2 linked regions of the Astyanax mexicanus genome follow. The protein of the gene in region 1 purifies or fractionates together with the protein of each later gene. This does not show direct contact. Links are inferred from orthologs where the notes say so. Each region holds a gene or a part of one and is shown on either strand. Other genes may lie near its edges.

Region 1 (3,757 bases):
ACAGATCTACAGCTTTTAACATTTTTTTTTTTTTATAATTACAGTTACAATACAGAAAACTCACGGTTCACTTCACAGCACAGCTTTGATTCATTAACTCAATAAAAACAGGATTAAACCTAGTAGAATTGCATTTAATTTGAACAGACAGTTGTGAAAGTTATAGTTTGTGTTATATAGAGCCGTATATCACTCTGTAGTTAGTGCAGAGTACATTTTAAAACACTGGTACATCATCCTCAACCAATACAACTAAAATTAAATAAACTATAAGTGGGTTATAAAATGGTTATCATTATGTTCTCTGTAGGTGAAAGCAGTGTGTAAATCGAGTAGCCACTCCCATCTCTGTCACTTATACTGAGATACGTTTGTGTGTGAAGTGTGAATTTGTTTTTATTTACTTTTACAAAATAGCAAAAATACATGACTCCCCATCCTCCCCTCCCCAGGTAAACAATAATAAATAATCTGTCCAAACAGGGCTGAAGGAGGAGTTTGGAGGTGTGTTTAAACATGTTGTAGAAGATCAGCTCCCAACTCAACCAACAATCCAACCAATCATCTAAACCCAATTCCTACCATATCCTTTAGTGAAGACGTCCTTAGCAGACTTTCCCAGGTCAACGTATGTCGGTGGAACAGCCATGATCTGCAGGAGAACACAGAATTATACTTTACTGAGAGGAACCGCAGAACTGAACCGGAACCGACCCGGTGTGAACTGAAGTGGAGGAGACAGCGCTGTGGAATGTGTGCTGTTATAATAACTGGAGGATTATGGGAACAGTAAATGGTCACTGGGGCGCATCAGAACATGGATCCATAGAGAAACCATCTGACCATCTGCTCTCCTTTCAGCCAATTAGACCCATTCTCACAACAGAGCAACAAACTACAGCTCACTCTCAACACAATCTAAACCACACTGCTGTCAGTTCTTACCTGAGAACCAGTTTAAAAAAGCTAACCCGACCAGAAATCACTGAATCACCAGCATAGAACCTCCCCATAGAACCGCATGCGGCACCATCACTGACTGATCTGATCCGACAACCCTGAGCTCCTGACCTGTACTCCAGTAGTAGTGAGCTAATCACGTCACCACGCTTTCATTAAGCTTTAAGAGTTAAGCATATGCTAATCTATTCCCATTCTGCACGGAGTTAACGCTTCACATAAACAACATTTAAAAACCTCCATGTTTAAAATGCTTTCCTGTAAATGGATCTTCATTCAGATTAAATCCAAATGCTGTGCAGTTTAAGACTAGGCCTAACCCCTGTCTGACAAACTCCTCCTTTTGAGTTAAAACTCAACTACATGGATATTTAAATAAGAGAATGGACTGCTCCTCTAATTTAATTTCTAGCAAATTAATAAAAAATAAAACAAAATATTTAGAAATGGATCAATCCATGTTTTGCGTTCAGGGGATAAATGTGTGTGTAAATTGTTTTATTTTTAGAATTATATTTTATAATTATATCATATATATACGAATATTTAAGAATAAGTAGTTTATTAAAAGCAGGAGGAGAGAGCCGGGTGTTCTGTCGAGTTGTGCTACCCATCGATACGTGCTTCCTAAAGGCACTGCGCATGCGCTGACCTACACTTTTTAATTATTTAGTTTTTTTACAATAAATTTGTTAAAATCCGGTCTCACTGTCACTGCTAAAAAAAGTGTACTATAAAAATGGAAACTAATAATAATAAAAATTACAAATATTATTTAAAAAAATCCAAAAGCAGTATGACCTCTCATTTCCATATCTTTACCATGATACAGTGATTTATGCTATCCAAATACGGTAACGCTACATGCACTGGGACTTCTAGCGGGAACATGCTCTAATATGGAGCTTTTTTTTAGTATTTTTAGAGTTAAATAAGTCTAAAAACACACTAGAGAAGCACAGTTTAAACACAGGCCTGTGTTCAGATCCGGAGTGTGAAGGTGAAGCTGGGAGAGGAGGGTTAGATTTAGCCCGAGTTTAACAGCAGCAGCAGCAGATCTACAGCTTTACTACAGCAGGGTTTATACTCTCAACCTGTATTATATATTAATTATATAAATGAATCTATACACTAATCTATACACTAGAAGAAAGAATAAACTGAGCTGATGCAACACAGCAGTGTGTACAGCCTTCACAATGTCAAGGAGAAAGACCCCCCCCCCCCCCCCCTTACACTCACACACACAGACACACACACACACACACACACACACACTCTCTCTCTCTCTCTCTCTCTCTCTCTCTCCTTCACACACACTCATCCATCCCCGAGTCTCTTCTCTAAATATCGCGGTGTGTGATGAAGGTTACTGAGGGCGGGCAGATCCGCAGCATCACCCCGCTCCCTGCCTGCTCCCTGCCCGCTGGGCTCCGTTAGCCACAGCCGCTAGTTAGAGATGAGTGATCCAGCTCCACAAAGTAAAAATCCACCCAGGTTTCTGGTTCAGTAGATCAGTGGTGAGCTGCAGTAAAAGATCCCGGGGTGGATTTTTACTTTGTGGAGCGGAATTACAGACCTGTGCTACCCGGGTAGCTGAGCTGCGGTCAGGGTCCGGCCTGGAGCAGAAAGACCGCGGGGATGAACGCAGAGGAGGAGACCCACCCAATCCCTCCCCGCGGTCTCACCGCCCAAACCCGGGCATCCCCGGGCTGCAGCACCGCGCTACCAGGCCGCGGACCCGCCTGGCTGCACATCACCCCGCCGCCACCGACAGCTTCAGCCCCGCGCTGCGGCCGCGGTTTCCCGCTAAACCCCGCGGAGCGCAGCCGGGCTGCGGGCAGTGCGGTCTAACAGCGCCGTGTAACCGGTAACAACCATAAACCTGGAGCTGGAGCTTACCGCAGATACAGCCTCTCCGCCCGGCCTGCAGTCTTCAGTCAGGAGAGGAGGATGGGGGGAGGAGACAGAGAGAGAGAGATGGAGGGAGGAGGAGGAGAGGAGAGGTCACGCTGTCCGCGTAACAACATCTGCAGCACCGCCACAGACCTTCTACCCAGGAGAATCCCCATCTCCATCCATCACTCTGTAAATAGAAGTATAGATACTAAAGTTTAATCAAATACTGCTGTAGAAGTTGAAGAATCAACTCAAGTTTTTTACTCTTTAAGTAAAAGTGTAAAAGTACTGGATTCAAAAACTGTGTGCAGGTGTGATGGATCACAGTTAAACCAATAGGGAGTGGGAATGGTATATGTTTATATTTCTCTACATCCAATCAGAATCAGATTCACTCTATCTGGATGGAGAGATTTATCTGGATAGGAGTTTTATTGAATGATGAGAAGCCGGAATGAAAACCAGCTGAAATGAAACAGGAGTAACGAGGCTGTTTTTTAAAATGTAAGAAGTAGAAAGTTCAGATAATTGTGTGAAAATGTAAAATAATTACGGCAGTAAAGTATAGATAACCTACTTTTATACTATACAGAGTATAAATGAATGGGTTCATATGGAGCATTACAGAAAAATCACAGTTTATAAATGTTTGATCATTTTTATAATGAAAAACACGTTTCCTCACCACAGAACTGCATCACATGTTTTATTGCACACATTTTTAAAGCTTTTAAACTTTTTTAAAAGCTCTGTCTGTATTTCCAGCTTAAACTTACCAACCAATCAGCTCACAGTAGCAGTAATGCAGCATCTTTACTGAAACCTGTTCACTGTAGAGAAATGTAATATACAGGTAATTTTCTTTGCTTTTTGGTCAAATTAAAGGAATATTCTGGAG
Region 2 (3,757 bases), on another chromosome or scaffold:
AATGAGATATTTTGCAATTAACAGGCTAAATCTATTCAAGGAAACTTACAGAGAGCACCAGTGCCATAGACACGAGCTGGCTTCAAGGCCCTCTCAGCCCTAGCATACTTGGCGGCGGCCACCATCTTCATGGACTTGGTGATCTTCTGGATGTTCTTGACGGACTTCAACCGAATGGTGACTAAAGATCAAAACAGAAAAGAAATGAACAAAAACGCATCACCGGGTCATACCCCCAGTCAGTCAATATGCCATAAAACAGATGTTACATGCAAGCAAATCAACACAATTAAACTGAATAACATTAGATGCACAATGATATCGGAATTATATCAGTAATTGCTGATAAATGCTTTTTTCCTCCCATTATTTCCAACCTGGTCCTCGCTAAAGCATGAATTGTATGCTGGAAAAGGACCAAACACTGTGGCTACTATGGCACTATGGCTACAGTGATGTTCACTGGGGGCAAACAGAACAGCTCTGCTAGGAGTTCTGAACTTCATAACTGAAGACCAGAGTAATACAGTACAGACATCATACATGTCATATCAAACAGTAGAACCGTCCATATGTAGCTACTAGCCAGCAAAGTTACATCTTAAGGACAGCACAAAATAGCCATTCATTAATCTCAGAAAACAGTTAGCATGCAGGCTAACATGCTCCAGTCCTTACTGCTAAAGTTAGCTGTAAACTAGCATTCCAGCATTCTGTGGTCAATAACTAAAGAACGGAGTGAAATATAGCCATAATCCACTTTTTTATTAAACCACAGATCCTACTAATCTAAACAGCACAGTGCTATCCATCTGTTATCAAACAATAGCTATTAATTCAATTCAGAAATCAGTTAGCATTATGGCTAACCTGCCAGTTTGGGTTTCACAATAAAAGTCTCATGGCAAATCGTATTAAAATGTAAAACCAGCATTTCATTTTATTTGGACTATTTTATTTTATTTGAAACTAACTAAGTAAACTTTTGATCAAAATACAAAATACAAAAAAAACACGTTACTAAAGGTTAATATTTATATCACCTAATATGCCAAGATTTTTGTCAACTGTCTGCCTGACATTACACCTCTAAATCTTGAGGATTTCTATTCTAACATTACAAAAAAAGCTTTAATGTTTTATAAGGAACATTACTGAAAAGCAGAATTGTAATTGTAATAGAAAATATTTAAAAAATATTTACTTAAATATGTCAAAATATAACGAATAAAATCTTAAAATTGTTTTATTCCTAAACTTCATTTTAAAATCAATATTTTCCTGAATATAAATGAAACTGTTCATCTCCTCCAAAACATTCCTTACATTTTCAGACATGCATAATTTGGGTTTGATTCCTGTCACTGACCTGGAATTATTTAGTGGAGTAGAGCATGAACAGGTAGCTCAAGTGTCCAGTTGGATTTTAAAGGCCTCAAATTTTCAGAATGTAAATAAGTTATTTTACTGCAATAAAAATAAGTATTTTGCATCTTCTATAAATGCTTTGTAATTTTTAGGTAAATAAATATGCAGCTTTAAAAAAAAGTCCTTACATACAAATACATACAGTACATCAACTGACTGAGGTTCATCACAAGGAGCTTTTAAGTCAATTATCCCTCAGCTATTTTTTCTACTTAAAATTGTACAGTTTAAAACACTTTAACAGCAGCACAAACAACTAATTTGTAGTATTTAGATATAAAGTCATAAAAGCTATACTGATGTGTAGTCTGTGTGTATCAGACATATCAGTGTGTATATCAGATATATGCATCTGTACAGAATTCCCACATCATTGCATCCCAAACTAAAATAGATAATTATATGTTTAATGAAAATCTCTGTATGTATAAATATAAATGCTTTAGTTTACTTACTGTCCTTCAAGGTAGCCATGTTCCTGACCTGCCCACTGCAACAAGGAGAGGATTCAATCAGTTATATTAAACAGCTTCAGTTTTCTTATAGGGACCAGCATCACTTACATTTTACACTTAAACTATCTATATATTTAGGCCCTAATACTAGATGATATGAAGCAGTCATCAAGCATGTGTAGCTCTAATACAAACAGGTCAAACTGCTAAACCCAACTACAATTTACACAGCTATTTAACTATGTAAACCCGTGTGTTAATTATTTTATTATATTTTGGGTAATATAGGGCAGTGGATAAATGCAGAGGGTTAATATTGATTATAATACTCAGACTGGTGAAGTTCACACTCTCAGGCTTAATCCAGCCGTTGACGTTAAGCTACTGAGGCCTACCGGGACCGGCTCGTCCTTGCGAGCTTCTGACCCGAATAACAGACAGAACCGGGCCCTGAACACCTTCACTGCACAGTAATACTGCTTTACACAATGTCATTAATCAGAAAATGTAAAAATGAAGAGTTTTAAAGGCTTTACCATTGTGGGAGGAACACCACCGCGCTGGCCCTGCAGAACATGTTCACTTCCAATGAAGGTCAGACTGGCCGCACTGCGCATGCGTACAGCGCCTACAAAATGTCGAATCCGGCTGACGTTCGACTCAGTTTACTGAACCGATTCTTCAGGTGATTCAGGTTCTTATTCAAAAACGGTAGATTCACGTTTGAATCGACTCACTTTAATAATATATTAAACGTTTAATAAAAAAAATCAAAATGGTATACTACTGTGGATTACATTTATGAATATTTAATAATTATTTTAAAAAGTCAATCTGTGGGGAAATTCATATCAACCATTAAAAAAATATATATTTGATTATTTGTTATTTTACACACATTTAATATTATTTAAAGCTTATTTTTTTAAATCAGGCTTAAAACCTACTTATATCTGCTGAAAACATACAGGTACATTACATTTGCAAAACTACATTTCTAATTAAGTTTCCTAATTTAGATTATGATTTTTTAGGTGACGTTTTCTGTACATTTATAATGATGTTTTTTATTATGATTTGAAATGAATATTTATTTACTGTATATACATTTAATGTGTAGGATTATATAAAATCCCCCTTTTCGTCGAATGAAGCTATGTGCTGTTTTTGATGCGCAATGGAGAAAATTACGTTATATTTTATTAAATTAAATTAAAACATCAGACTGAAGGAAAAAATACTTATTAAGAGTACTCACCGTATTAAAAGTCTTCAGTCCATAATTTAGTCGTAAACAACAGAAATCTTTACTAAAGCTTCACAGTTTGGGTAAAAAAATTGAAAAGGTTTGACTAATTGAAAGGAACCGATTCAATGGAGTGATTCATTCTGTTCTCTAGCTATTACAGATACACACGAAGTGATGACGTAGAGCGCATACACACACAAACACGAAGCGGCGAGGCAGAAGAACAGAACAGAAACGCAGGAACGGGGCTCTGGAACTGTTAACTAGTTTAGTTTAATAGTAAATTAACGCTTTGTTTATAGGTGTGTAGTCAGGGTTGAACATGGGAAAGGCGGATTTCCTGAGCCCTAAAGCGATAGGGAACCGAATTAAAGCTAAAGGGCTGCAGAAGCTGCGCTGGTACTGTCAGATGTGCCAGAAACAGTGTCGAGATGAAGTGAGTTAACTACAGTTTTCCTTTATTAAGTAGCTGTTAGTTAGCTTAGGTATATTAGTGTTATTTTTATTTTAGTTTCTGTACGGTTTTCTGTTTTCTTTGGTTGTAGTTTATACACTTTGATACGTGATGAGTGTCTGAGTATCGTGATATTGACAAACTCTCATATATAAATTCTAAGCTAGCTAA

The links. The genes of interacting proteins can lie anywhere in the genome.
Region 2: the proteins of vdac1 (region 1) and atp5f1c fractionate together in Homo sapiens (co-fractionation; 3 studies listed by BioGRID, with this or other methods). This does not show direct contact. The link is inferred for Astyanax mexicanus from reciprocal best matches to the Homo sapiens genes VDAC1 and ATP5F1C.

Annotation. Positions count from the first base shown.
Region 1 is NC_064424.1:47,952,977-47,956,733, forward strand, and holds the start of vdac1 (voltage-dependent anion-selective channel protein 1), read right to left. Parts: upstream 2,991-3,757; 5' UTR 2,863-2,990; intron 653-2,862; 5' UTR 650-652; coding exon 583-649; intron 1-582. UniProt on the Homo sapiens protein: Non-selective voltage-gated ion channel that mediates the transport of anions and cations through the mitochondrion outer membrane and plasma membrane.
Region 2 is NC_064409.1:21,091,927-21,095,683, reverse strand, and holds the start of atp5f1c (ATP synthase subunit gamma, mitochondrial), read right to left. Parts: upstream 2,531-3,757; 5' UTR 2,461-2,530; coding exon 2,420-2,460; intron 1,919-2,419; coding exon 1,884-1,918; intron 182-1,883; coding exon 50-181; intron 1-49. Other genes in the region: kin (DNA/RNA-binding protein KIN17), read left to right, coding at 3,455-3,568.